6 linked regions of the Cricetulus griseus genome follow. The protein of the gene in region 1 purifies or fractionates together with the protein of each later gene. This does not show direct contact. Links are inferred from orthologs where the notes say so. Each region holds a gene or a part of one and is shown on either strand. Other genes may lie near its edges. The genes, in order: Rrp1b, Srsf6, Lyar, Srsf1, Ddx21 and nucleophosmin.

The links.
Region 2: the proteins of Rrp1b (region 1) and Srsf6 purify together in Homo sapiens (affinity purification with mass spectrometry; 3 studies listed by BioGRID and IntAct, with this or other methods). This does not show direct contact. The link is inferred for Cricetulus griseus from reciprocal best matches to the Homo sapiens genes RRP1B and SRSF6.
Region 3: the proteins of Rrp1b (region 1) and Lyar purify together in Homo sapiens (co-immunoprecipitation; 3 studies listed by IntAct, with this or other methods). This does not show direct contact. The link is inferred for Cricetulus griseus from reciprocal best matches to the Homo sapiens genes RRP1B and LYAR.
Region 4: the proteins of Rrp1b (region 1) and Srsf1 purify together in Homo sapiens (co-immunoprecipitation; 3 studies listed by BioGRID and IntAct, with this or other methods). This does not show direct contact. The link is inferred for Cricetulus griseus from reciprocal best matches to the Homo sapiens genes RRP1B and SRSF1.
Region 5: the proteins of Rrp1b (region 1) and Ddx21 purify together in Homo sapiens (affinity purification with mass spectrometry; 3 studies listed by BioGRID and IntAct, with this or other methods). This does not show direct contact. The link is inferred for Cricetulus griseus from reciprocal best matches to the Homo sapiens genes RRP1B and DDX21.
Region 6: the proteins of Rrp1b (region 1) and nucleophosmin purify together in Homo sapiens (co-immunoprecipitation; 3 studies listed by BioGRID and IntAct, with this or other methods). This does not show direct contact. The link is inferred for Cricetulus griseus from reciprocal best matches to the Homo sapiens genes RRP1B and NPM1.

What each region holds. Positions count from the first base shown.
Region 1 is NW_023276806.1:260,330,645-260,335,703, reverse strand, and holds the start of Rrp1b (ribosomal RNA processing protein 1 homolog B), read right to left. Parts: upstream 3,403-5,059; 5' UTR 3,339-3,402; coding exon 3,209-3,338; intron 1,669-3,208; exon of another isoform or gene 1,536-1,668; intron 746-1,535; exon of another isoform or gene 622-745; coding exon of another isoform or gene 600-621; intron 1-599. UniProt on the Homo sapiens protein: Positively regulates DNA damage-induced apoptosis by acting as a transcriptional coactivator of proapoptotic target genes of the transcriptional activator E2F1.
Region 2 is NC_048599.1:16,581,925-16,586,782, reverse strand, and holds the start of Srsf6 (serine/arginine-rich splicing factor 6), read left to right. Parts: upstream 1-1,413; 5' UTR 1,414-1,557; coding exon 1,558-1,664; intron 1,665-1,863; coding exon 1,864-2,012; intron 2,013-3,292; coding exon 3,293-3,417; intron 3,418-3,522; coding exon 3,523-3,731; intron 3,732-3,887; coding exon 3,888-3,971; intron 3,972-4,071; coding exon 4,072-4,417; 3' UTR 4,418-4,858. UniProt on the Homo sapiens protein: Plays a role in constitutive splicing and modulates the selection of alternative splice sites. Plays a role in the alternative splicing of MAPT/Tau exon 10. Binds to alternative exons of TNC pre-mRNA and promotes the expression of alternatively spliced TNC.
Region 3 is NW_023276807.1:107,176,114-107,180,463, forward strand, and holds part of Lyar (cell growth-regulating nucleolar protein), read left to right. Parts: intron 1-1,336; 5' UTR 1,337-1,387; coding exon 1,388-1,509; intron 1,510-2,142; coding exon 2,143-2,257; intron 2,258-3,791; coding exon 3,792-3,899; intron 3,900-3,987; coding exon 3,988-4,071; intron 4,072-4,350. UniProt on the Homo sapiens protein: Plays a role in the maintenance of the appropriate processing of 47S/45S pre-rRNA to 32S/30S pre-rRNAs and their subsequent processing to produce 18S and 28S rRNAs. Also acts at the level of transcription regulation.
Region 4 is NC_048600.1:101,232,926-101,238,052, forward strand, and holds the start of Srsf1 (serine/arginine-rich splicing factor 1), read left to right. Parts: upstream 1-1,780; 5' UTR 1,781-2,249; coding exon 2,250-2,443; intron 2,444-2,895; coding exon 2,896-3,080; intron 3,081-3,489; coding exon 3,490-3,662; intron 3,663-3,862; coding exon 3,863-4,057; 3' UTR 4,058-5,127. UniProt on the Homo sapiens protein: Plays a role in preventing exon skipping, ensuring the accuracy of splicing and regulating alternative splicing.
Region 5 is NW_023276806.1:274,611,741-274,616,090, reverse strand, and holds part of Ddx21 (nucleolar RNA helicase 2), read right to left. Parts: intron 4,300-4,350; coding exon 4,114-4,299; intron 2,724-4,113; coding exon 2,578-2,723; intron 1,926-2,577; coding exon 1,776-1,925; intron 1,398-1,775; coding exon 1,236-1,397; intron 245-1,235; coding exon 125-244; intron 1-124.
Region 6 is NC_048600.1:48,345,991-48,351,051, reverse strand, and holds the start of nucleophosmin, read left to right. Parts: upstream 1-1,787; 5' UTR 1,788-1,903; coding exon 1,904-1,961; intron 1,962-3,420; coding exon 3,421-3,500; intron 3,501-3,903; coding exon 3,904-4,023; intron 4,024-4,229; coding exon 4,230-4,323; intron 4,324-4,591; coding exon 4,592-4,698; intron 4,699-4,787; coding exon 4,788-4,849; intron 4,850-5,061. UniProt on the Homo sapiens protein: Involved in diverse cellular processes such as ribosome biogenesis, centrosome duplication, protein chaperoning, histone assembly, cell proliferation, and regulation of tumor suppressors p53/TP53 and ARF.

The sequences.
Region 1 (5,059 bases):
ATGCCAAGAATAGTTAACCACAGTAACACATGGTGCTTCACAAATGTTTGCGGCATTTATGAGCGACTGCACCAGGACTCATGAACCACCATGAACTACAACACAGTGACCGCTTCATGACAGTAAAGACCACAGAGCTATCTATTTATGCTGCTGATAGAAGGCTATCTGTTTCAGTAAGACTAAAACATCAGATTTCCCAACAAGATGCAAGGCTGCAAAACAAATTGAGTTTGTCAACGAGATGCAAATGTGAGGCAACCCGTGCTTCTATTATGATGGGGCATAGCAGTGCCAGACACTTTGGTTTTCCGGTCCCATGATTATTAAGACACCCATTCTGCCAATTTTTATTTATTTGCAAGCACATATGTATAGGTCAGAAGTCAATCTCGGGTATTTTCCTCAACAGCTCTCTAGCTAATTTTCTGAGACAGGTTATCTCATTGAACCTTGAACTCACCAATTTGGCTAGACTGTCTAGTCATCAAGGCTACACAAGGATTTTACCTGGCTTTTATATGGATGCTCAACACCCGAACTCAAGTGCTCCTAGGCATGTGGCAAGCACATTACTGATGGAGCCATGCTACCATTACCTGCAGTTACTTTTACATGCATCTATGTACACCATGTACATCTGTAGTGACTGCAGAGGTCAGAAGAGGGTGTCGGAAGCCCTGGAACTAAAGCTATGGATGGTTAGGAGTCACCACGTAGATGCTGGGAATAGAACCCTGGTTCTCTGCAAGAAAAAACAAGTATTCAAATTTGCTAAGCCATCTTTCCAGTCCTCCCCCCCCCCCATTTTTTTTTTTCTTGAAGATCTTCTATATTCTACAAACTGGCCATGATGACGATTAGGGTAATAAGATAAGCAAATCTGGTGGGGTGGTGCTAAGCAGGAAGGATCTTGGGGTACTGGTGTGAGCCATCTGGCTTCAGGCCCTTGTGACATCTTAGTATTACTGGGCCTGTCCCCAAAGGGGTCTGAGAAGCATGCTCTTTGGCTGTCTGAGGTCCAGATGGTAGTGTTTGCTTGTCTCCTGAAGGTCCTCCTAAGGCTCCATACCAAAGCTTAAAGTGCTGGGGGAAAACATGATAGAAGCCATCAAATTCAGAAACAAAGTATCCTGTACACAGCTGAGGCAGGACCATGGAGGAGTTCAAGGTCATTCTCAGTTACATAGCTAATAGAGACCAATCCTGGCTACAGGAAATCCTGTCTCAAAACAAATAAATAGCACCCCCACCATGTACCTACTACAAAAGGGACACATATTTCATAACTCTAGAGATAACCAGGAGGCCAGGGAGATACTATTGAAAATTTCTTGGAAATGATACTGCTAGGGGAGAAGGGGTAGAATTCTTTGCTAAACAAGCAAGGGATGCAAAAGCATGGAGGTGAGAGAGAATGCTTGGTATCCTCAGCCTACAGGGTTTTATTGACTGCTAATGACTTAGAAAAGCAGGCAAGGACACCATGACTGACAGACTGTGACCTTCAGGGAGATTTGCTTTAGGAAAATGACCTGGGCTGGTTTGTGGAGAGCAGATTAAAGAAGCACAATGGAAGTCCGGCTTGGTGTCACATGCCCTTAATCCCAGAACTCAAGAGGAAGAGGCCCGCAGATCTCTGGGAGTTCGAAGCCAGCCTGGTTTCCAGGACAGCCAGGGCAGATACACAGAGAAACCCTGTGTTGAAAAACAAACAAAAGGCATAATGGAGTAAAGGAGTCAGCTTAGGGAACAGACAGTACAGAAATCTAGGTAAAGAAACCTCTGGTTAAGGCAGAGTAATCCAGGTTGTTGAGAAGGCAGGACAAACAGACAAAGTGTGTGGGTGGGTGTGGAGGATGAAGAAAAGAGTCCATGGCAATGTGGTGTGTCTGTGTGGTGAAAAAAGTAAGTATGAGCCCTAGGGGAGGATTAGCAGGAAAGAGTAGGTATTTTGGGGGAGCAGGAGTGGATCCCATTTTTGACACTGGGACAGCCAGGTTAGTACCAGGCTAGGAGCACTAATCTGAGGGGAGGGTAGCAAAAGTCCACCTGGGCTACCATGTTAGGTTTAGGAACTACCAGCACAAGTATTAAGGAAACTTGTAAACCTGAGAGTAAACCGAATTTCCTGGGGCAATCCTTAACAGAAACATTATGGGGGTGGGGAGGGATTGCAGCTGCCAAGTCGGCTCAGTAGATAATAGCATTTGGTTCATAAGCCTGTCTACCTGAATCTGACCTCTGGATTCCAGGGTGGAACGGCACACATGTAATAATTAAAAAAAAAATTATTTTAGTTTTTATTCCTCTATCAGACTTCCCACAAAAGGTTCTCTCTTCCTTTTTTAGAGATAAGATCTTACTTGTCCTGTGGCCATGTCTGCCTTCAGCCTCCCAAGTGCAGGAATTAATGGTGTGAGCTACCACATGGGGCAGATTTCAATTAAAGAAAACTTTCTTAGATTTGTTTTAGGTGTATGTGCACCACGTGCATGCCTGGTGTCAGCAGAGGTCAGAAGGGGGCGACTCCTCTCCACTGGTTGTGAGCTGCCATGTGGGTACTGGGACTCAAACCGCTGAGCCATTTTTCCAGTTCCCCATATTTCAATTTTAAGCAGATGTCTGGCTGCAACCTGAAACCTCCACAGCACGCTGCAGTCCAGACTCTGGATCGCTTAAGTAAAAATCTTGCAAAGCACTCCACGGCAGTTTAAAATCCAAAGGAGAAAGCCAGTGATCTGGTCACATTGCCTCCAGGCTCAACTTCATCTCAACACGCCCCGCGCGCCAACTTTTGGGTTTCTCTGGCCTAGGGCACCCTTAGCTCTTTCCTGCGTCTGCCTGGCTGGCTTCCTCCTTTCAAAGCCTCACAGTGCACAAGAGGCTTCCTTTGGAGAGACTTTCTCCTGCACTTTTCCACACTACTGGCATAACACACATCCTCCACCGCCACAGGTCCTGCCACCACACTGCCAGAGTTCCTCCGGGGCTGGAACACAGCCTCAACTCTCTCCCGCACACCAGCGCCTGCAGGCGCTGTGCAAGGGAAGCAAACGAGAAACGCAACCGGGCCTCGGCGAGCTGGGCTAGTGCTGAGCTTGGACCCGGAGCTCCCGCCGCAGCAGCCGCACAGCCCGCGGCAGCCGCACCCGCACCCACAGGCGCGACCCTCGCCGAGCGCAGCGACGCGGACCCCGGCCCGCACCTGTGTCGCTCTGCGTCCTCGCGCTGAGATACTGCCGCAGCTTCCTCACTGCGCGGTCGCGGACACCCTTCTCGCTGGAGGCCAGCCGCTGGGCGAACTGGAGCTCGGCCGACTGCATGGCGGGAGCCATCGCGCCCGCTCCAGCATCCCCGGGGGCCGCGCGCGTGCGGCTCGCCCGCCGAGCAGGCTGTATACTGCGCCTGCGCACGGGCCGCGGCGCGCGGGGTGATGGCGTCAGAGGCGCGCCCGCTGTGCCGCGCCCGGCGAGCCCGCGTGGCCGTGGCGCGAGTAGACGCTGCCGCCGCGTCCTGCCTAAGTACGTCCTGGGGGGGCGGTGGGTGGTCCGAGTTCAGTGCGGTTGGCGTCGGGGTTAGCTGGGGTCGGATTTCCTCCAGGAAGACGCCTACGGCTGGATTGACGCGGTCTCGAGTCTAAGCGCAGCTGACAAGGCTGGGTCCGGGGGGGAAACGGCGCTGCAACGGCCCCCGCTCACCCGGTGTCTGCAGAACTCGGCGGGCTCTCCTGGGTGGAAGTGAGACCCAGAGGAAAGGGCGTCATCCAGGCTGCCCGGGTCTGATGACTACCCGGGGCCGCGCTCCCCCGCCTCCACTTCCCCTCAGCGTAATGCCTGGATGCAGGCGCAGCGTTGGTTAGAGCGAATGGTCGCCTCCCGTCGGTGCCCGCGACAGACAGGGGCAGGGGTGGCGAGGAGACCTTGCCGTGTTCTGGGACAGGTGCGGGGCTTGGCGAGGAAGAACAGCCCATCCCTGCAGCATCAAGGGCACATACAGGGGTGTGGCGTGGAGACAGCGATCCATTCCTGGGACAGTTCAGGGGGTATGGAGTGGCAAGAGAGCAAAGCGTCTTGGGGCAATTGCAGGCTTGTTAAATGGGGAGTTGCCAAAATCCAAAGCCAGAGCGTCTGGGTTAGGTGCAGGGATGTCCCCCCTCGCCCCCCCACACACAATAGAGGGGAATGACCTGTCCTGGCAGCAAGCAGGGGGAAGATTTGGGAATCTAACGGGCCCGGAGGGAACTTGACTCTGTCCTTAAGTCATGCAAAACACACAGTTCTGAGCCGTGGTGTCTTGGGGTCTCTATTGCTACAGTGAAACACCATGACTAAAATGCAAGTTGCAGAGGAAAGGGTTTATTTGGCTTACACTTCCATATTATTGTTCATCGAAGGAAGTCAGGACAAGAACTCAAACAAGGCAGGAAACTGGAGGTAGGAGCTGATGTAGAGGGCATGGAAGGGGTGCTGCGTACTGGATTGCTCACCATGGTTTGGCTAGCCTGCAGGACCACCAGTCCAGGGATAGGACCACCCACAATAGGCTGGGTCCTCCCCCATCAATCACTAATTAAGAAAATGCCTTATAGCCCGCTGGTGATGGCAGATGCAGGAGGATCTCTGTGAGTCCGAGGCCAGCCTGCTCTACAGAGTGAGTTCAAGGAGAGCCAGGGCTACACAGAGAAATCCTGTTTTGAAAACAACAACAACAAAATCCCTTACAGGTCTGCCTACAGCCTGATTTTATGGAGACATTTTCTTAATTTCTTATTATTTTTTTAATTTGTTTTTTCAAGACAGGATCTATCTGTGTAGCCCTGGATGTCCTGGAACTTTCTCTGTAGACCAGGCTGGCCTCGAACCTGGAGACCCACCTGCCTCTGCCTCCCAAGTGCTGGGAGACATATTCTTAATTGAGGGTCCCTCCTCTCAGATGACGTTAGCTTGTGTCAAGTGGACATAAAACCACTCAGCACAAGTGGGAACATACTAATCCCACAAGAAACAAGTCTTAACAATTGTGCTAACTTTAGGGACACCAAAGCCCTAGGTTATCA
Region 2 (4,858 bases), on another chromosome or scaffold:
AGTTGGCTTTTTCCTCCTACGATATAGATCTCTTGAAGGTCTTCAGGCTTGGCAGTAAGCGCCTTTACCTGATTCGCTCATCTCACCAGCCCACAAATAATTTGGCCGGGCGCTGGTGATGTACACCTTTAATCCCAGCACTTGGGAGGCAGAGTCAGGGGCATCTCTGTGAGTTTGAGGCCAACGTGGTCTACAGAGCAAGTTCCAGGACAGCCAAGGCTAAACAGAAACCCTGTCTCGAAAAACCAAATGATGATGATGACAAAAGAAACTGACAATTTGATAAAGAGAAAAATGTTATTTGTTGAATTCGTTCTAACTAGTTCCATGAATATTTTTTAAAAAGCTGTCTACCCGCATTTTTTATATTTCTAACTTTAAGGACGATTTCTCCCCCACTAGATACTAGTACAAACTCATCTCCCGGTTCGTTACAATCAACATTGCCTGTCTGCCCCTAGAGGACAGAATCGCTCCTTCCCACCTTAGCTGAAAAGACCTGTTGGGAGAGCAGAAAACAAATTCCTGAAGAGCAGGTAGTGAGTGACTCGGTGACAGCCTTTTCTCCCAGCTTCCACCACACCACCCTATGCTTTCAGTTTCCTAACCTCTGCAACCAGCCTTTCTTTTGCGGTACTTAAGTTAATTTACTCCGGAGGGGGTGGGGGGGTGTCTTGTTTATCTAGCTCTACAGCGTTAGATGTCACCTCTACAAACTCCTAAGTGTGCATTTCTGCCACATAAACACCGTGCCTTCCTAGTCAACAGGGTTAAGGACAGCATGGGTAGGAAAGGAGCTCGGTGTTCTTGGGGGACCGCCGGGTCACCCGCCTGGTGGTGCGTGGGGTCTTGCCACGCTCCCTTTGTGAGCAGCCGCGGTGAGCGCGGGATTCAGAGCTGTCAGCATTCGGAGCGGGGTGAAGGGTGTCACCGAGACTCAAGACTCGCCACCGCACCTTCCCCGCGGCGGGTCACTACGACCTCCCGGCCAGAGATGGGGCGGCAGAGAAAACTGAGTCCGAGAGCACGTTCCCACCGAAACCAGCGCGAGCCAACCGCTAAAGGGAGAGCGCAACCTCTTTTCCCAGTACACCAATCAGGGACCGGAACGGCCTTGACGGACAGCCCTGAGAACCAGTGAGAACTAGGGACCGTTCTCCGCGTGCTTGGGCACGAGAGCGGTTGACGACAAGGCACCCGTCAAAGGGCCCGCTCCCGGCTGGACTGGGTACGGAGATGGGTGCCGAGCGCCGGGGAACATCGCGGCCGCGAGACCGCGGTCCCCCAAGAAGCCCGTCGCCCGGGAGCCCGCCCGCCCGCCGCGGCGCGGGAGAGGACGTGCTGCGCGCCGACGTCACGCGCCGCGCCCCGCCCCGCCCCGCCCCGGACGCTTATAGCGTAGGCCGGCGCGCGCGCGCACCATTGTGTGGCTGACTCGGCCGCAGCTGCGGTGTGAGGCGCGTGTTCGGGCCTTCGCCGTCCCCGCACCCGCACCGCAGCCGTGCCCCGCGGCCCGCCGCACCTCAGCTAGCCTCCGGGACCCCACCCGCCACGGCCATGCCGCGCGTCTACATAGGACGCCTGAGCTACAACGTCCGCGAGAAGGACATCCAGCGCTTTTTCAGCGGCTACGGCCGCCTCCTCGAGATCGACCTCAAAAATGGGTGAGTCGGGTCTGGGGGTCCGCGCCCCGTGGCGGAGGGAGCCCCCAAGGACCGAGTCGACCGAGGCCGCGGCGCCGCGTGGCAGGGCCTCCAAGATGGCGGCGGCGGCGCCGAGCGCGCGCGGGGAGGTGGCGGGAGCGCGCAGCGCCGGCTAACGACACGCCCGCCGGTGCGCGGCCCGCGCTCCGCCCCTCCTCAGGTACGGTTTCGTGGAGTTCGAGGACTCCCGCGACGCCGACGACGCCGTTTACGAGCTAAACAGCAAGGAGCTGTGTGGCGAGCGCGTGATCGTAGAGCACGCCCGGGGCCCGCGCCGCGACCGCGATGGCTACAGCTACGGAAGCCGCAGTGAGTTCTTCCCCCCCCGCGCGCTCCGCGTCCTGGGTACCGGGCGGGGGCGGTCACGGGGGAGGGGGGCGCAGGGCGGGACCTCCCTGACCCGGGCAGGCGCGGAGGCCGGGGGTCGTTGGCCCTGGGTGTTCCCGGGCCCCCTCTGCCTCCACGCATGCTCGGGGAGCCATAGGACACCGGAGCGCGGGGATTGGGTTGGTCGGGTGGCTGGCTGGTTGGTTGGCTGAGTTTGGAAGGGGTGGCTTCAGTTGGCCCTCGTTGGCACTGGTGTTGGGCTCTGCCCACGTTGAAAGCGGGGGTTGCCTGTATTTGTACCATTTCCCCCTTGCTTTTTCTGTCAGTGCTTTAGCTAGCGTCGAGGAAGTTTCTAGGAAAGCTGGGGTGGAGGTGGGGCAGGGGGCGGGGAAAGGGGAGGAGCTTGGAGCTTAAGCCTTAGGTGAGGGGAGACTTGGCGAGGGCCAAAGAGAATGCCATTTAAAACTAACTAAATGTGGTAGACTACCACAACGTAAATCTAAATTAGCTTTATGCTATATTTGAACTGGTTTGGGGCATGTTACTGGGAGGGGGTTGGGGGGATTTTGGTTATGTGAAATGTTTAATGTTGAAATTGTTGCATGTTGAATTCAAACTTTTTAACAAGTCCTTGATGTTTCAATTTAAAAGTGACCAATGGGGCTGAGGCTGTGTCCACTGAGGCTAAGATGACTGCCTTTCCTGATTGGCCTTGGCTTTTCCATACATTGTGTGACCCTTGCCCTATGACCCTTTGGCTGACCTTACCGGAAGCCATGACGACAGCAGCCTTTTGCCATTAGACGCAGGGTGATGGTGAGGATTCCAAGGGTTAGACAAAACTGGTTAATCTGAACTAGGTGACTGTTACCTTGCGTGTTTTGTGGCCAAACCACCACCAAAAACCTCACACTGTGATGTAAGTACTTAGTGTAACTAGTAAACATTTTTGTAAAATGTAGAAATGCATGTAATCAGTTAAGTTTTATATTTTACAATGTTCTGTAAAATAAAACTTAGCGAGGTAAATTGACTAAAGGAGCAGTCACTCTCTAACAGATTGTAGGAGAGGGTTAGTTGGATTTAGTCTATTTGACTTGCCCTTAATTTAATTTGTGGCAAATCACAAATGTATCGAGGGTTTAGCAGTATAATAGCAAAGTCCTACTCCAGTAATAAACGTTGCTATGTTTGTACTAACTTTCAAAAACATGCATCCCTGTCATTGCAATGCATCTAATTATTCCCTCCGTGTGATAAAGGTGGTGGAGGTGGATACAGCAGTCGGAGAACTTCTGGCAGAGACAAATATGGACCACCTGTTCGTACAGAATACAGGCTTATTGTAGAAAATCTGTCTAGTCGGTGCAGTTGGCAAGACTTAAAGGTATGTGCCTGGGCCTTAAATGACAGTGGGTGGTCATTTCCTTAAGAGTTGGTGCTGCACAGACATGCTCTAGATTTCTGGGACTGACCAGTCTTATTATTTTAGGATTTCATGCGGCAAGCAGGAGAAGTGACTTATGCAGATGCTCATAAAGAACGAACAAATGAGGGTGTAATTGAATTTAGATCCTACTCTGACATGAAGCGTGCTTTGGATAAACTAGATGGCACAGAAATAAATGGCAGAAATATTAGGCTTATTGAAGATAAACCACGAACAAGCCATAGGCGCTCTTACTCTGGAAGTAGATCCAGGTAACATGAGGGACTGGGATGGCTTGTAGTTTTCAGTTGTTGCTTAATTGAACTTACGGAGTTTCTTGGTTGTAGTAAGCAGATACTTCAGCCAAAGCTGAGTAGTACAAACCCATTCTTTCTAGAGATTCAAACGTCACTGTCTCTTGTGTGTAGATCACGGTCTAGAAGAAGGTCACGGAGTAGGAGTCGCAGGAGCAGCCGCAGTAGATCTCGAAGTATCTCAAAAAGTCGCTCCCGGTAAATAATGTGGTAGTGGGTCTTTCTTAATTTTACCTGTTGATGGAGTACATGTGATTTCTGACAAGATACTGAAAGAAATCTGGCTTTTCTTACACAGATCTAGGTCGCGGAGCAAAGGTCGATCCCGATCCCGCTCAAAAGGCAGGAAATCCAGATCAAAGAGCAAATCTAAGCCCAAGTCTGATCGGGGTTCCCATTCACACTCAAGAAGCAGATCTAAGGATGAGTATGGGAAGTCCCGAAGTAGGTCACGTTCTCGGTCCCCCAAAGAAAATGGAAAAGGAGATATAAAGTCCAAATCCAGATCCCGGAGCCAGTCTCGATCCCATTCACCCCTGCCTGCTCCACCTTCAAAGGCTCGTTCTGTGTCCCCTCCGCCAAAAAGAGCTTCCAGGTCCCGTTCTAGATCTCGTTCAAGGTCCAGATCAAGTTCCAGAGATTAACCCTGAACTCTGCGTTCTTTGCACACTATAATGGGACACTGTCCTACTTGCTTAGGCAGTTACTCTTCCAAGTTTGTACTTGGCCTCTTCTTCAAGAGGATTTCCTGGAAAGGGAACACAGGAGTTTAATTTGTGGCCAAATTTAATGAGAAAAAGATGAGGTTCTAAAATGGTGGTATGAACCCCTCTCCCTTCTTTGTAGAATTAAGATAATTTTGATTTTGTAGCCTTTGAGCCTAAAATAACTTTTGTAAAGATTAAGCTCATTTAGATTTTTTTTTTTTAATATTGCAGCAGAATCTGCTGCAGGGTTCTGTTTTGTTTGCTTATTTTTAAATTAACTGTTTCAAAGCTTTGGATACTGCAGGCTTTAGAGGGAGAACCCAAATTTTCAATTATGTTAGCTTTTTATAAAGCTCGAGTTATGTAAGATTTAAATAA
Region 3 (4,350 bases), on another chromosome or scaffold:
CATTAAACATGACCCCAGATTCCCTGAGCTCTGACTTTTTCACATGTCTCTACAAAAACCAGGCAACAATACTTGTTATCTGCCTCATTCCGCCTTTGGTGCCAGGCAGTAGCTGTCCACATGCCTTCCCTCGCTAATCAGCTCTGTTCCAAGCTAAGGAGGGAGGCACAAGACATTAGTGTCAAGGACCTCTGATTTGTGTCTAGCATATAAAATGAACCAGTGTCCAACAGTACACCACGAGGCAGAGGGATCTTTGTATACCAGGATGGACATTTCCATTTAGAGCTCAATGGAAGAAAACAGTCCTGATGTTGCTTTGGTATGACCTCACCAGCACTGCAAGGGGTGGGGTGGGGGGTTGGAATGGAGTTCATGCTTGAGAATTTACTGTAAAATCTCAGTGGTAAGGAGTTCTCACAGGAAGCAGAGAAGCAAGTCCTGTGTGTCTTGGTCCTAACCTTCATTTCATACTGAGGAAATGGGTGCTGGACTAGGCAGCTCTCGGTATTTGGGCTGAACAAAGCCCATTTTAGTAAGAACATCACTGCTCTTTTAAAGACCAGTGATTATAAAAGGCTATGTAAGCATGGAAAGTTACTGTGGCAATTGTAACACTTTAGGGATCTGTTTGCAGAGTACAGTAGCATGCATGCAATGTGAACTGGCTATGTGTGTGTAGATGCCCTCCATACTGGGTGCACATAAGGAGGCTGGCACATCTGGGTTTGGGGGTGACCATAATTGGTTCCTTTTCTTTCTTCCTGCCTGATGTACACAGACCCTAATAGAATGAGTTCATTTGTCCCTGTCCACTGAGGCCAAGGGGATGTCTTCATGTTAACATTTGTAATTCCATCATTGAGCATGTAGGAATCATTTTTAGTCTTCAGTGGAATTGTTCTTTAGCTTCTCCACTTGCTAAACTCTGCTGCTTGCCCCTTTGCTTTGTTGGTGTTGTAGTCACAGTTACAGTATGCACTGCACACCTGCACTGTGGTGCTTGTTAACACTTTGATTTTGTACATTTTATATAAGGGGGAGTGCTTGAAATCATTAGTGAAAGCTTTATCTATGCTGCTAATCTGCCAGGCTTAAAGCTTTTTATGCTCTCCTGGGCAAGTTTATGCCACTGTGGCCTCTTAGAAACCTTGACCCATGACATCCTTCCCCAGTAAGCTCATTGCAAGGGCTCAATACATTAGCTCCTGAGTATAATTCCTGGCTTGTGCTGAGCACTCAGCTGGTTCTTCTGATAATGCTCTTTTATTGTGGAATTCATGTATTGGAAGAAGTTTCTGCTTATTATAATATCTTTATCTTGTTTTGTTTTTAGGGCAAGAGTTCAAACCTGTCTCAGGTAGAATATTTAGTCATTTAACCAAAAATGGTATTTTTTACATGCAATGCATGTGGTGAATCAGTGAAGAAAATACAGGTGGAAAAGCACGTATCTGTCTGCAGAAACTGTGAATGTCTTTCTTGCATTGACTGTGGGAAAGATTTCTGGTAAGTTCTGATACTTAGATCCAGGTATAGAAGTCCAGACCCCACAAAGCTTGGGAAGATAGAGGAGCAAACTGAGGACAGAGAACAAAAAAGAAACCTTAGTGTCTGTTGACTAAACTTGGTGTGATTCTCCAGGGAGTGCCATTTCATTTTAAGGACTTGTTAAATTGAAGACCAAAGGGACAGGATCCTGTTGGTTAGAGAATTTGGGGCTAGTAACTTAGTACACACACAGTTTCAGGAACATATAGTTTATAGTTTAGTGGCAGAGCTCTTGTCTGGTATGCATGAGGCCCTAGGTTCAATTCCCAGCACCACCACCCCCCCAAAAAAGTTTTTAGAGAAAATTTAATCATTCAGAACCCTGGCTAGAATTTTGCTTCCTTTATTATCCAATGCAAGGAAGTGAGCACTCAGAATAAGGGACTTTCTGGGCGTTACAGGGCGGGGAGGTGGCACTTTGTTGTGGTTCTGTCAGATCTCATTGCTCTGAAGAAATCAACAAAAAAGCAGAATAATTAGGCTGTTTGTGCAGTTGGCCAAGTATGGAAAATCACAAAGAGTAAGCAGTGTACTCTTTGAGAGCCATTAGCACGTTGTCAGTCTAGTGATAAGACGTGGTTCCCTCTGCAGGGGTGATGACTATAAAAGCCACGTGAAGTGCATCAGTGAAAATCAGAAGTATGGAGGCAAAGACTATGAAGCCAAGACACATAAAGGTGATGCAAAGCAGCAGGCATGGATTCAGGTAAGTGTTTCTGTCCAGCCTGTCACTCATCCCACACTTCTATAAGTGCCACCTGTGCAGACAAGTCCCAGAGACAGCATACCTTGGGGTGGAGCACAAGTGTGAGAACATCTTGAGAAAGATAAAATTGTGGTTTGTTTATCTTTGGCTTCTGTGTTTTATAAATTGTGCTCAGCATATTCGTGGGTTCCTGCTAACTTTCTTTTGGCTGTAAAATGAAACTGAACCATAGAGTTTAAACCATCTGAACACATCTGAACAAAGTTAAAAGTTTCAGAAATGTAAGGAATTTTCTAGTTAAATACAATGAAAATATTTACAAAAGCAGTGAGCTCCATTTTGAAAGAAGGGGAGATTGCTGTACAGATAACATAGCACCTTTGTGGAGACTGCATTTTCTTGAAAATCAAATTAGTTCCCCCATTGAGTGCCAGAGTGTGAGTGTAAACTTGGGGTGTTGGCTCTCTTGACGGTGCATAATCCTGGCACGACCCTCATGAAGGACTTAACAGTGGCTACCCAGTTGAGAAGCTGCTGAAATCTTTAAGATGTGATAGTGCTGGCAGGGTGGCTCAGCTAGGATGCAGGTGCTGGCCACCAAGTCTGAGAACTTGAGTTTAGTCCTCAAGGACTCACCTACTACCAGAGAAGTGATTGATACAAGTTGTCCTCTAACCTCCACAAAAACACCTTTCACAGCACCCCATTGAGCCATCCTGCTGGCCCTCAATATTGTCTATCTGGTGTCATGTGTAAGAAATCATTACCAGATTAGATATTTTGAAGTTCTTTGATACATTTGGGGCTATTTTTTATGTAACATGAGGTCCAATTTAATTTCCATGTTAGGATCCACTATTCCTGGTACCATTTGTTGAAAAGGAGTCCATTTCAAGCTGGACTAGGCTTGATATCCTTGTCAAAAACCCTTTAACCATATCCTCAGGGGCTTGTTCCTGCATTTTCCAGTGGTCTTTGTGGCAGTAGTACCACACTCTTTGGATCATTGTAGCTTTGTAGTAAGTTTCCAATTAAAAAACAAAACAAAACAAAAAAACAACTTATTTCAAGATTGCTATTGTGTTTGGAGTGCCTCAGGGTTCCATGTGAATTAGTTGACATGTACAACTGGACTTTGCTATGGCTTTCAGGTTGACATCTTAATATTGTATTGCAAATGAAATTCTCCCAGTGTTCACATTTGAATTGTTTTTGTTGGTGTGTAAAAATGCAGCTTGCTTTTTAAGAATTGTGTATTCTGCAGCTCTGCTGAATGAGTTGTTAATTCTAACTGGTTGCCCCCTCTAGAGCTTTCTGCAAGCAAGACCATATTCCTTCAAATGCTGCCTGTGAATATTTGACCTGATTTTGTTCCTTCTGTTAGGAAGGCTTTGGCCAGGGCATCAGTGCTGTGTGGAATAGGAGAGTATTTGTCATTATGCATAGATGTAAATATAGAATCTTGGCTTTGAAGGTGAGAGCCCTTTGGCCAAGCCAATATGTCAGTTCATTTTCTTCTTCTTTTTTTAAATAGAAAATTAATGAATTAATAAAGAAACCCAATGTCAGCCCTAAGGTTGGAGAACTTTTGCAGCAAATCAGTGCTTTTGACAATGTTCCCAGAAAAAAGGCAAAATTTCAGGTATGGATTTAAATGCTGTTCCCAAATTGAGGTGTGGCCCATCAGTGACCTGTCAGAGGCGACAACGGCTTTCTCTTTATATCTACAGAACTGGATGAGGAACAGCCTGAAAGTGCACAGTGATGCTATTCTGGAGCAGGTGTGGAACATCTTCTCTGAAGCGTCCAGCAGTGTGAGTCCACTCTGCCTTGCAATTACAGTCTGATAGACAACTGGGAATAATGGAATGGGGTGCTGTGTATGGTGGTTGAGATGGCATTTCCAGAGAGCCTCCATGCTCTCTCTTTGATGGGCAGGAATGAGGTAGGAGCACCTGGACAGTGTGCAGGACAGCATTCAGCCTTCAGCATTCAGCATGCTGGGCAGTGGGACAAGTTTTTGTAGAATGATTGGCACAGCGGTCGGGCTGGGTAAATGGGAGTGACCCAGGATTTGATGTCTGACTGACTGG
Region 4 (5,127 bases), on another chromosome or scaffold:
TCAGGCATTTATCACCTCAGCCCCTCCCCCACTCTCATTGACCTTCATTTCTTTAGCCTGTCTTAATATTTAATGCTTTCATTTTAAGCAGCCTTACATCCTTGGAATGTTCTAAGTCAATGAGAATGTAAAGGGGCAGCAGAATGGCTCATCCAGTAAAGGTGCTTTTCAAAACCCTGACAGTTTCATATCTTGGGCTCACACGGTTGGGGGTGGGGTGAACTGACTCTCATGGGTACGCCATGGCACCAGTCACCACTCCAATGCATAATATGCACAAAATAGAAATTTAAAGACTGCTGGGTGGTGGCGGCGGCGGCGGCACATGTCTTTAATCCCAGCACTCAGAAGGCCGAGGCAGGCAGATCTTTGTGAGTTCATGGCCAGCCTGGTCTACAGATCAAGTTCCAGGACAGCCAGAGCTACACAGAAAAACCCTGTCTTGAAAAACAAAACAAAAAGAAAGGAAATTAAAAACTAAAAGTAATAGTGCAGAAAACACCCTTAAAATCGGTGGGGGTCTGATTTAGCTCATTTATTTTGAGTCAGGGTCTCTGTAGCTCTGGCTGGCCTTGAACTAAAAGGTTCTGTTTACCACAATGATGGGATTTAAAGGCGTGCCACCACCTCTGGCTATTGTTTGTTTGTTTGAGGTAGGGTTTCTGGCTTTGAAGGCTGTCCTGGAACTAGCTCGTGTAGACCAGGCTGGTCTCGAACTCAGAGATCCGCCTGCCCCTGCCTCCCAAGTGCTGGGATTAAAGGCATGCGCTTGCCTCTTCTGGCTATTTTATGTTTACTTTGAATATGAAAGGCTCTGGTTTTAGCCTGAAGAGGGCGGTCGATGTCTTTAATCCCCCAGCACCCAGGAGGCAGAGGCAGGTGGATCTGAAATCCAGGCCAGCCTGGTCTAAGGAGTGAGATCCAAGACAGTCAGGGAAAGATAGAGAAATCCTGTGTGAAAAATACAAAAATAATAACTACAAAAGGCTTTGGCTTTATTTTTCCCAATTTTTTAATTTAAAGGGTTTCCCGGGGCCGGAGAGATGGCTCAGTGACTTAGGTTCAATTCCAAGCACTCATAACTGTCTGTAATTTCAGTTCCAGGGAACCCAGTACCCATGTCAAAATATCAATGCACAAAAAATAAATTTAAAAAAAAATCTAAAGGGTTTCCCTACATGGCCCCGGCTGATCTAGAACTGTGTATCACAGACTAGCATAGAATCCTCCTGCCTCAGTTTCCGGACTGACGAAATTGAGGCCACAAGTCACCAAGTTCAGCTTGGTTTTGCTTTTATTCCAGTTCGAATTCATTAACAAGACTGAAAACCTGCATGATTTCACACATAAGGCCCTAAATTCCATTCCCGTGATTACAAAGGAGTTAAAAGTCGTAGTATCCAATATAAATATCCTGATTTCAAACAATGTGAGATGCAACCGTTGTCTCTAGTAGTTACAGTCCTCGCATCTATTTTATTATTTTTTTTCTTTCCCCATCCTTTGAAAGGAGGAAGAGAAAAAACTGAAGGCGCGGTTGGTTCGCAGAGGTGTGGAGGGTTCCTAACTGCCTACAAAACGCAGCCCACCAAAAAAACGCAGGTTCGTAGAAGCACAGGACACAGCTCCGCCCACGCTCTTAAACCAATCACCTGCAACTCCGCCGGCTCCGAAGATGCCCAGGTTTCCGGAGCAACAGCTCAGCGTCATCTGGCTCCGCCCCCCGGCGCCTTTCCCGCCAAAGGCCGTTACCGCCGCGGAGCATGGTGGGACACGGTTGTGGGCTGTTGTCACCAAATCCTTTCAAAGCGCCGAGTGGCTTTTAAAAGAGGGTTCTCTCCTGAGGGGAGACATACTATCCTTGACTCAGCCGGGACCAACAACCCCCTTTCACCAGCGTACACCGTTTTCAACCACACGTCTGGCCGCCTCGCTGAACCAGGCGTTCCACCAGCAGCAGGACGCGAGGGACTTTTTCCCCTCCGTGCGGAGGGTGACGTAGCGCGTGCGCGAGCGTGCCTCTCAGCACCCGTTACGCTCGTGCGCGTGCGTACTGGGGACGGAATAGCCGCTTCCTCTGGCTTCCCTTCCTCCCCCTCCCCCCCATATCAGTGCGCCGGGCTGATAAAGGCGCCATTTTGGACGGGCCGCGGGAGACGTGGTGCCGCTGAGGGCTCGCTCTGCCGTACGCTAGGCTTGGTGGGAAGGCCTCTTCTCGAGTCCGCGCTTTTTTTTTTTCCCTCGCCGCCATGTCAGGAGGTGGTGTGATTCGGGGCCCGGCAGGCAACAACGACTGCCGCATCTACGTGGGTAACCTACCTCCAGACATCCGAACCAAGGACATTGAGGACGTGTTTTACAAATACGGCGCTATCCGCGACATCGACCTGAAGAACCGCCGCGGGGGACCGCCCTTCGCCTTCGTTGAGTTCGAGGACCCGCGGTGAGGCAGCGTGGGGCTTGCGGCCTTGAGGAGATAGGCTGGAGTAGTTGGGGGAAGGCTCTGTCTGAGGCCTGGACATAATGGGGGGGGGAGGGAAGGAGGGGCTCCGAGGCTGGGAGCGAGGCGCTATCGCCCCTGCAGGAGTCGAGTAAAGGAGCCGAGTCGGCGTGTTGTCTCCGGTGGCTGGCCGCCTCGGACGTCCCCAGAGCCCATGCGCGGCCCGGGAGCGGGAAACTGAGGCGCCGAGGGCTGGCGTGGTGGTCGGGAGTCCGCCCGGCGTGTTTGTGGGTGGGGGAGGGGCCGCTCCTATTATGCAGCGCATGTGGGCTCCGGCGCCGTGGGTGCGCATGTGCGCCGTCCGCGGCTTCCCGAGTGGCTTGCGTGAGCCCGGCCGGCCGGCCGGCCGGCCGCTGTCCCTGGCCTCATCCCCTTTGCTTTCTGTGATCACGCAGAGACGCGGAAGATGCGGTGTACGGTCGCGACGGCTACGATTACGACGGCTACCGTCTGCGGGTAGAGTTTCCTCGAAGCGGCCGCGGCACCGGCCGAGGCGGCGGCGGGGGTGGAGGCGGCGGAGCTCCGAGAGGCCGCTATGGCCCGCCATCCAGGCGCTCTGAAAACAGAGTGGTTGTCTCTGGTGAGTTGACTCCGTGTGGGGTTTTAAGAAAATCCTTTTCCCGCGAGACTGGTTTGACAACTCCCAAGTTTTGGTGTTTGGTCTTATTTTTTGTTTTGCTTTGCTTTGCTTTTTTTTTTTTTTTTTTCCTTTTTTTTCCTTTTAAACTGCTTCGGTCTTGGGGGTGAATTTAGTAAACGAAGATTACTGTGGCGGTGATTTACCCAAATTAGGTTGCAGTGCTAGCCTATGAAGATCCTTTACAAATAAGTTTGGACTGTGGATCTCAGACTCTTACCAGCTCTTTACCTGGAAACACTTAAGTACAATCATTCAGTATTTTAAAATAATCCTTGTTCTGATGTACGTTGCACCAGTTTGATGTGGAACTGGGTGATTAGCATTAAGTAGGGGGAAATCACTTTTTCAGGACTGCCTCCGAGTGGAAGCTGGCAGGATTTAAAGGATCACATGCGTGAAGCAGGTGATGTATGTTATGCTGATGTTTACCGAGATGGCACTGGTGTCGTGGAGTTTGTACGGAAAGAAGATATGACGTATGCAGTTCGAAAACTGGATAACACTAAGTTTAGATCTCATGAGGTAGGTTATACATTTATTCTTTTATTTGGCCAGAATTGGATACAGTGTTCTTAACAGTGGAATTTGAAGGTAAGGATACAGGCAAAGGTGTCCAAGTAAATTACCAGAGACCTGGTCTGTCTGTCTTTGTATTCATTCAGCATGTCTGAAGACAGGTGAAAGCTTAGATCTTTCAATGGAAAGTTCTGTCTATCCAATAGGGAGAAACTGCCTACATCCGGGTTAAAGTTGATGGGCCCAGAAGTCCAAGTTATGGAAGATCTCGATCTCGAAGCCGTAGTCGTAGCAGAAGCCGTAGCAGAAGCAACAGCAGGAGTCGCAGTTACTCCCCAAGGAGAAGCAGAGGATCACCACGCTATTCTCCCCGTCATAGCAGATCTCGCTCTCGTACATAAGATGATTGGTGACACTTTTTGTAGAACCCATGTTGTATACAGTTTTCCTTTACTCAGTACAATCTTTTCATTTTTTTTAATTCAAGCTGTTTTGTTCAGAATGGGCTAAAGTGTTGAATTGCATTCTTGTGTAATATCCCCTTGCTCCTAACATCTACATTCCCCTCATGTCTTTGGTAAATTGTATTTTAAGTGATGTCATAGACAGGATTGTTTAAATTTAGTTAATTTCCATGCTCTTCAGACTGTGATATTGTGTAAATGTCTATTCTGCTCTGGTTTGTGTGAAATGGGATGTTGGGGGTGTTTGTGGTTATCTTACTTGGGGAAGTTCTTATGTTTATCTTGCTTTTCATGTGTCTTTCTGTAGACATATCTGAAGAGATGGATTAAGAATGCTTTGGATTAAGGATTGTGGAGCACATTTCAATCATTTTAGGATTGTCAAAAGGAGGATTGAGGAGGATCAGATCAATAATGGAGGCAATGGTATGACTCCAAGTGCTATTGTCACAGATGAAATTGGCAGTATTGACCTTATACTAAAAGACAAGGGTTAAAATTTTTATCTACCTTAAGACACTTGCAAACATCTTATGCAGTTATCTTTAGCTACAATTGCTTTCTAAACCTTGGCAATTGTGGCAGAATTGCCCATTTTGTAACAATTATTTGCTCCCTTCTCCCCCCCTTTTTGTTTTAATAGGGACTAATGTGGGAAGAATGGCTAATTTGTCACAGTGCTTAGTTACAACTGTTAATGTGTGGCCTGCTGTTGGTGTACATGTGGGTACAGGGTGTCTATTTCCAAACAGAGTATAATATCAATACTGCTAAATCTGCATGTCCTCTGTGTGACTGATAGAGCGTTGTTATTTCATTTTTTTTTAAAGACAAAATGACAGCAAAATAGAATTCCAATGTATTAGTGTAGATAATCTAGTTGGGAGTGCTTTAAGTCTCACCTTCCCTTTTAATATTCATAATTGACTCATGTTTAATACACTTTAATTTACAAGCTAAATTGCAGATGGGAGCAATAGATTTAGTTTAGACTTAGGTGGGTAGCA
Region 5 (4,350 bases), about 14 Mb from region 1:
TATCACTATTTTCAAACACAAGTTATCTAACCCATATTTAAGATGCTTTCCGCCAAGGTCCTAAAGACTGTCTTTGCCTTCAGAATGTAGTATGTGCTGAATTCGAGTTAGAAAATCACCTTACCGCTTTCTGTTCCACTTGTGCTAATTGGTATTCATCCTTGTGCTGATAAAAGCAGATGCAAACCCCTGTCCTTCCAGCTCTGCCTGTCCGCCCCGAACGGTGAATGTAGGACTCCACATCCTATGAAAACCAAGCACAGGAGTGATATAACTAAGATTAAGGAGTGTGTGCAGGTCAGTGAATGAAACTATGAGCTTCAAAACCTCTCAAACAGTGCTCACTAGCCTGTGTGCAAATATTCCAAGGGTATGTGTATTTCCAAGCTTCAAGTGACTATAATAAAAGTATTAAAATTTGTTTTAATAACAGTTTATTTAACTCTATACATTCAAGTATTTTTTTAAAAATTTGTTAATAAGGTAGATTGTTTCTATTTACAACAAAAAGACATGGGACCAGCCTAAATGTCCAACAGACTAATGGATAAGGAAAATGTATATGGACATAATGAATTTTACCATATCACAAAAAATTCAATGATAAATTTTGCAGTCAATTGGAAAGAACCAACTTGGAAGACAAACACTGAATATTCTTTCTTATATGCAGAGAGTAACTTCTTTATCTATCTATCTATCTATCTATCTATCTATCTATCTATCTATCTATCCATCATCCACCCACCCACACCGACCTATCCAAACTGTGTGTAGAATTCAGAAAATCAGAAATGGCCCCCAAGAGGAAAAAAGGATTTATTCACTGAAAGGAGTGGGGAGGCTGCTAGAACACATGATTATGAGGGTGGAGGTGGGGGGAGCACTGAGGGCGGGAAGCAGAGATGGGGCAGACATCTAAACAAAATCCCTGAGTCATACATAAACGGTAACAACAGGTTAGCATACTCTCTTCTGCAAGCCTTCAAAATCCAAAGTACATAATAAAAATCCAAGCAAGGTAGCAAATGTTTGCCCCGAAATTCTCTATATAGAACTCAAAAGCTATCAAACAGAATTCTGGAATGAAAGGTGTATGTCACCAAGACTGACAAACAATGTACTGAAAACTACATAAAAGTCAAGCCAATGAAGCAACTTTTGGTACCCCAAAAAAAACAAAAGCAATGTTTTATTCCTGTTTAGGGAAAAACACACACACAAAAAAACCTTACCTTTGGTGGACAGCTTTGAACAACCAAGTCAACCTCAGGGATGTCTAAGCCACGTGCAGCAACATTGGTTGCAACCAAAACCCCGAAACTGCCATTTCGGAAACCTTTCAGGGTGATTTCTCTTTGCTTCTGTGGAATGTCACCATGTAATGACTGGGCATCCTGCCAAAGACATAAACTGACCTAAGAATACAAACCCAACACAGCACCCTCCAAGAGGCCCAAGAGCTAAGTCTGGATTCTCCTTCTGGAAGTAATACAAAGTGAAAAACTGATGCCTTCTTACTCGGGAAAATCTTCAAACTGTCTGCAGCCCTCAGCCTGATGTCAACTGTTTATAACTACACTCTTCAAGGTTGGAAATACCACCCAAGAGTTAAGTGATGTACATGTAGCTTTACATCGAACCAGGACTGATTTATTACATACACCCTGACCATTAGAGAAGCTTCCCCTAATTGAACACAACTGGGAAGTCACCGGGTGACTGAAAACAGAATGAAAGCAAACATGTCCAAGGTGGACATGAGAAGGACCAACCTGCTTTATGCATGTATTCTGTGACAGCTCCTGGGCTTCTCTCTTGGTTTCACAAAAGATGATAGTACGCCCTTGATGACCACTGTACACTCTGATCACATCCCCAATAACGGCTGCCCTCTCACTCCAGTGACACTTAATGGCCAAGTGCTTTGAAGAGAAGAAACGGGATTTAGAAAAGTCTGGCTGGGATCTCCCAGCTCCCTTCTCAACTTAAGTCTAATGCCGTGGAACAAGAAGTAAATGCAGGCCTTACAGGGCTGTCTGCTGCCACCACTGCTTAGAGGGAAAGAAGGAAGCTAAATAAACAAAAGTAAAGAGCAACGTGGTCTGTCCCCAGGCCTCTTTCTCCAAAGAGCATCTGGAGTCTTTACGTTCTAATGCAATCAGGAAACACTATTTCCCAGGCTCCTGCAGGAAACCAAATAACTGACAAGAAAGGCCTGTGTGTGCTATGCCCCTTCATCCACTTAAAAAACATACTGCTCTTGGGTGAAATGATGATGAGTCAGATTGCTCTGCTGCCCTCTAGAGGCTAAATTCTAAATGTAATCACTTTATCTAATTCAAACATAAGGTTTCAAGTTAACTCTAAATCAGGCTACTAGATGGTGAAATCCAGAAAGCAGATACCATACATAAAAGAGAAAGATGCATTTTACTTGGCTCTTCTTAAGGGATTACTTAGTATTCACCTAAAAAAAAAGAGCTTGTATTTTAGCTAGTCTTAAAACTATCAGACAGGAAACAAAATGCTCAGCAATTTAATACTACTACTTCCGGCAACTAAATGAATCATTACCTCCACAGTTATGGCTGCTTTCTGAGTCTTTTTACCAATCAGGTCCACCTGTTCGTATGTAGATTTCATGTATTTCTTAGCAACATTAAACACCCAATGAGGGCAAGTTGCAGAGAAAAGCAATGTTTGGGGGTTGTCTTCAGAATCTTGGGGGAAAAAGAAGTCAGCGTGAATAATCCAAACAAACCTGCAAACACAGTACTCCACCTCACCTGGCATCTCCAGACCACACCACCATCACCACCAACCACTGGTGACCAGCCAGCCTATACATCAAAGACACTATTAAAGATGCTAACACCTCCCAATACACAAAACCTGAAATAATTTGTCATCGTAAAGGATCTCTAAATGATCAAAGTACATGAAATCAATCTATTTTGTTTTCTAGCCTTTGCCATCCATCCCTTACCCACACAGGAAATCTGTCCCATGAAGGAGGCTCAACAACTGAATAAGCAATCCTGAAGTCCAGGTACCCAACAGCATGGATCTCTAATTAAACAGCCTCTGACAAAACCCACAGCAGCTTAGTATTTTAAGAATCCAGAATCAGAGGTTGGAGAGATGGCTCAGGTTAGGAGCACTGGCTGCTCTTCCAAAAGTCCTGAGTCAAATTCCCAGCAACCACATGGTAGCTCACAACCATTTGTAATGAGATTTGGCACCCACTTCTAGCATGCAGGCATACATTAACAGGCAGTACAATATATAAATAATAAATAAATCTTAAAAAAGAATCCAGAATCCAGGGCTGGGGTGCAATCCAGTGACAAAGCCTTCAGCTCAATCCTAAGTATCCCCAACAGACAAAGGCAATGCATCAATGTATCTGATCATCTGGGCTTAGCAGCACTATGGTGTTGTTCTCAGGAGCACCAAAGGGCACAAGCTGGTAGAAGCAGTTCAGTGCCCTGTACAACTGGATCAGTTAGCTCTACTTATGGAGGGAGACTTGCATCACAGAACCAATTCCAAGTACTACAGAGCTCCAGCCGCTTAAATCCTCTGTAAGCAGAATCCTCTATATGAAATAAAGGTGAAAAGTGGAAGATGGAAGAATAAATCATGCCCAATCACCTGACAAGGTTTGAATATTTAACGGTTGATTTATGATTAGTACACACACACCCGAAATACACTGAAAGCTGTTTGAACAGTGAGTGTATCAAGCTGGCAGAAAAAGAAAATTTTCTTCTCCCAAGCTTTCACCAATTATAGAACGCGTGCTGGCTTTAAAATTTTCAAGTCTTTGCCGAATGTTGGTGCACAACTTTAATCCCAGCACTTGGGAGGCAGAGGCAGGCAGATCTCAGTGAGTTCAAGGACAGCCTCGTCTACAAATCGAGTTCCAGAACAATGAGGGCTACATAGAGAAACCCTTGAAAAACAAAAATAAAAAACAAAACAAAACAAACAAACAAACAAAAAACAAACTAAGCTTCCTTGAGTAAGTGCCCTATTTATCTCCTGGAAGACAATTTCACTACACCCTACCTTAGGTTCCTTCTATCAGTCCCTAAATTTGAGGCTTACCTTTCTTGTATGCCACACATAAGATTTCTTCGACTTGATCGGCAAAACCCATATCCAACATCTGGTCAACTTCATCCAGGACAACATGTTTAAGTTTGGTGAGATCTAGCTTGCCATTCTGCAGGTGGTCTTTAATACGACCTGGGGTCCCAACCAGTATATCAATCCCACTCCGTATGCAGTCGACTATAAAAAATTCCAGTAAAAAGAGTTTCCTTGTTTTAAAATTCCTTTTAT
Region 6 (5,061 bases), on another chromosome or scaffold:
TCAAGGTAGGTGGTTAAGGAAAAAGCTGGCCATCTTGGAGATGGCTTTATTATCTCGCCTTAGCCCCTCTCCCTATCGGTCTGCCCAACAGGGAGTCTGTGTAACTCCTAATCCTTCAATCCCATGAGTTTATATTTAGACAAGGTGCCTGAAATGTTGCAACAAGTGTGTTTTCATTAGTGATAGCTCCCAAATAGTTTAGTGTCTGCATTAGATGTGTTTCTTTTGTTTGTTTTTGGAGACAGGGTTTCTCTGTGTAGCTCTGGTTGTCCTAGAACCCGCTCTGTAGACCAGTCTGGCCTTGAACATTTGAGATCTCCCTGCTTCTGCCTCCTGAGTACTGGGATTAAAGGCTTTTCTCTCTCCCCAACCCCCTGCATGTGCTGTGTTTAAATGATCCAGAATCTAGGAAACAATGAAGTAGTTTTTTGACCCGCCCTGGCTCTAAGAACATTCTCCCTCCTAGACTAGAAGCCTTCGAATTTTGAATGGCCAGACTGCTCACTTGTGGTTTTCCCTTTTCCCGTTTATCTCAGTTGCTTACATAGACAGTACTTCCAAGTTTCAGGATTTACTCTAGTAGTTGTAAAGTGGAAATTCACTGGGCCCCATTCACATCTTGAGGCTGATTTTTTCCCCCCCAAATTTAGGATTTGGTTAATAATCTGCTCATACGTTTTATACTCAACTGGTCTTCCCAATTGGACCATCTCTGGAGTAAAGAGTCTGGGGGCATGAATACCATTACTCACATTCCTCCCAGTAACCTTTTCATTTGCTAGCTATGTTGAGATAAAAAGATTAGGGCTGCTCTCAGTACGCACCCAATGTTGAGGGATGTTTGTCGGGACGCAGTTTAAAATGCTATTTCCCAGCCAAAGATTCTAATCAAGGCTCCTGTATTTCTTAGAAGTCATATGCCTTCATTTGGAATGATAAGGATGACCTGCGTGTTCTCAATTCTGCACACACCTCTAAACTTTTAGAAAGGTGCTCTTTGGCCCTCGAATGACGTAAAGCTGAGAACTTAAGACTTTGGAGATGCTGCCTCAGAAAAGAGGTATAAAAAGTATGGCTGATGCCGGGCGGTGGTGACGAATGCCTTTAATCGCAACACTCGGGAGGCAGAGACAGGCGGATCCCTGGGAGTTTGAACCCAGCCTGTGAGTTCCAGGACAACCAGGGCTGTTACAGAGAAACCCTGTGTGGAAAAACCACAAAAAAAAAAAAAAAAAAAAAAAAAAAGGCTGACAAAGTGGCAAGCAGAGAATCATTCTACTAATGATCCGTCTGTCCTGCCTTTGGCTCCTGAAGCTCTATGGGAAAAGGATAAAATAAGACCAAGCCTTCGAGGAGGTCAAATCCTGAGATTATGCCTGTTGCAGGTCTACCGAGAACCGGAGGGCGAAGAACAGCGAAGGGAGTCGCCCGCTGGTTCCCGGCCGGCAGTCGCCATCTTTTAGGGTGGGCTGCGCAGCCTCTCCGCGCAGGGCCCGCGTGGAGAAGCCGAAACGTGGTAGCTTCGGAGGGCTGGAGCGCGTTACAAAGGGAAAGTGCGCCTGCGCTCGGGCAACCGCGCTGGAGGGGCGGGGCCAGAGGGAGGACGCGCGTGCGTAGTGCGAGCCCGCCAAGCACCTGGAAGAGGTGGGGAGGGGAGGTAGAGAGGCGTGGGATAGGACAGCGCTTGCGCAAGAGCGAGACAGTGCGGGAAGTGGGGGATCCGGAGCACGCTCGCGGAGGCGGGACTAGGGCAGATCTCGCGAGATTTGCTGCGGCCATATATACGTGCGGCGAGCCCGCGTCCTTTCCCTGGCGTGATTCCGTCCTGCTTGTCTGTTCTGAGGAGCAGTAGGCAGTTTCCTCCGTCCGATATCTCGCATACCGAAGTGCGCGTCTCCACCTCATGGAAGACTCGATGGACATGGACATGAGCCCTCTTAGGCCACAGAACTACCTTTTCGGTAACTGCCTGGCGGGGAGGGCCTGGGCAGGGCCTGGTGGTTGGGGGGGCGGCGGGAGTCCAGTTGAGGCCTGGCGTGTGCCAAGCGCGGCGTGGGTGGAGGCCTTTGCACGGCTGGGAGGAACCGCCTGGGCCGCGGGAGCCGAAGAAAGCCGAGGCCCGGGCGCTGAGCGGGACCGTAGCTTGGGGCGGCAGCGGCCCAGCCTCGAGCCTCTGGCGTTGAGAGGGCGGTCGGCCGAGGGTGCCAACTTGGCTTGGGGCGCGAGCAGGGGCTGTGACGACACTTTCTCTTCATACGTGAAGAAGGCCTCAGGACCTGGCAACAGGCAGCTGAAATTCAGCGCTGGGCCCCAGGCGCGTCCCGGGATAATGGTGCCTCTGGAGCGCGGCCTGCGCCGCCTCGTTGGGACGGTATAAGTGCAGTCCGCTGGGCTTTACAGGGGCTTCGGCCCCTCCTCCCCGTGCATCCGAGAGGTTCCGCCGCTGACAGGGACTCGGCCGGCCAAGCTCCCTGCGGCTGAGGGGGCCGCAACCCCTGGGAACACGTGGTTGCCACGTGGTTGGGGGTAGGGAGGGGGTGTGGGCTCTACATCCGGGCTCTCCTCACTTCTTAACCCTGGTCCTTCGGGTCCTGTGGTTTAATTAGGAGTGCTAGGCGGGAAACGCGTAAAGTGGCGCGTGGCGTCCGTGTCTTTGTTAAGATCTTGTAGCATCCACGGTGATGGTAGTGACTTTTTTTTAGAGACCCTTTAGTGCCTCTGCAAGAGGTGGAGTCAGCCCCACGCTGCCGATGACGATATTGATGGTCGAAGGGTCTTGATGTTAAGAGAGGGCCACGAAATCTTAAGTCGAAACTATCCTTTTCCCTACAACTGGTCTTTTTTTTTTGATTGGGCCGGGGAAGAGAGAGAAGTGCCTCCCGCGTTTAGCAGATTAAGGGATCACTTTGGTAACTCGGCTTCTGGGGACCCCACTGTCACTGCACATTCAGCTTATCGGTTTTACAGTCTATTAGTTTGGTTTTCAGTGACTCGAGTCAATTTTTTCAAAATTCCGAGTGTTTAAAGCACTTTCCCCTACGTGAATGAGTAGTACATGTTTAATGTACTCTAAGCATGAAGGGTTTAAGCTGTCCCTACTGGTCATGTGTAACCACTGTTGATTTGTAGTAATTTCCTTTAGAACGTAGGTAAGTTGGGTTTTTTAAAAATAGTGCTAGATAATGGTATGGTGCCACTATGCAAAAATCCAGTTTTAGGTCATTGGGTTTTCTGTGAAAAAATGGTAACGGTGCCTCATTAATTGGTCGTGAGTTACTATGAAAAAGTAGAACTTTTATTGGCTTTCTTATACAGTAGATTCCACGGAGAGAACATTTTTAAGTTAAAAGAGTAGAAGTTAATGGTCGTTTGGGACTGTGATGTTCATCTTGCTAGATTTATTTTATTTTTTCTTTACAGGTTGTGAACTAAAAGCTGACAAAGATTATCACTTTAAGGTGGATAATGATGAGAATGAACACCAGTTGTCACTAAGAACGGTACTTAAACTTTGAAATTAATTAGCCATTAGATTTCAGCCACTTGGATCTAAGTGAGGGGATTTATGTCAGTTTGTGCTTCCTTAACTGATGGAAAAATAGTATTTTTATAACTTTAAAATAGTTCACATATGTACTGGTAACAAAGAACTGGGTGTCTTTTCCACAGTCACTGTTATAATTAGTTGTCTAGTAAGGCTCTGCAGGATGTGATCTTTTTAAGTCTGTTGGCTATATTTTATTGGTTGTTTGGCTTTCTTAGGAACATACAGTGTTTTGTGTCTATGCATCTCGTAATTATATGAGAGGACTAGTTATCAGTAGTGAGAAGAGGCTAATTAAAAAATTTAAGGGGTGTTTATAAAACAACTGGGTACTGAAGGATCTTTCTTTTTGTTCACAGGTTAGTTTAGGGGCAGGGGCAAAAGATGAATTACACATCGTAGAGGCAGAAGCAATGAACTATGAAGGCAGTCCAATTAAAGTAACGCTGGCAACATTGAAAATGTCCGTACAACCAACAGTAAGTACATTTGTAAACATTGTTTTTAAAGTTGGTCTCTAAGACTGATTTAGGATAAGCAAAGATGTTTCAAATAAGTTATATCTAGTGTGAGATTATCTCTGTGGCTTCTAGATAGGTTTATTGATTATATAACTCTGTTGGTGATGCTTGGTGCAAAACATTCTTAAAACAATGTTTAATGATTGAAATTTGCTCATTTTTAGGTTTCCCTTGGTGGCTTTGAAATTACACCACCTGTGGTGTTACGGTTGAGGTGTGGTTCAGGGCCTGTGCACATTAGTGGACAGCATCTAGTAGGTATGTTTTTGGGTTTTTAAATCTGGTATTTCTATTAGGAACTGGCTTTTTTTAATATTTGTGTTTTGGCCAGGTTAGAGAAGACGTCTGTTGCCACTACTTGGGTCCTTGGGATTGAATACTGAGGTTTAGCCACAAAGATCTTGTAATTAGATTGGCTATCATCCTAGATCTCCAATATGGACTTTGTAAAAGTTCTTAGTTGTCTTATGCTGAAATAGGAATCTGGTAATGTATAAAAAGATAACACCTGAGTATCTTATTTCAGCTGTAGAGGAAGATGCAGAGTCAGAGGATGAAGATGAGGAGGATGTGAAACTCTTAAGTATGTCTGGCAAGCGATCTGCTCCTGGAGGTGGTAGCAAAGTTCCACAGGTAATTTTTTTTTTTAGGAAATGTTTTTGGTTTCAATATGTTAAATACTAAGGAATGACTCTTTCTCACAAATACATTTTTCTTTTAAGAAAAAAGTAAAAATCGATGAAGATGAGGATGATGATGATGAAGATGATGAAGACGATGAAGAGTAAGTATAAGTTTGTATGGTCTTAGAAACTTGACACACTGCACTGTGAAGGGTTTTAGGAAAATTGATTTGCCCCAATAGTTTCTAAAAGTGACAAAAAGGATTGATGGTTGAAAGTGAAGACACTTGTGCCTGTTAGGTTGTGATTCTTTCAGTGGGACATTGATTTTTTTTTTTGAGTTTAAAATAGGTTAAAATAAGATTTCATGTGT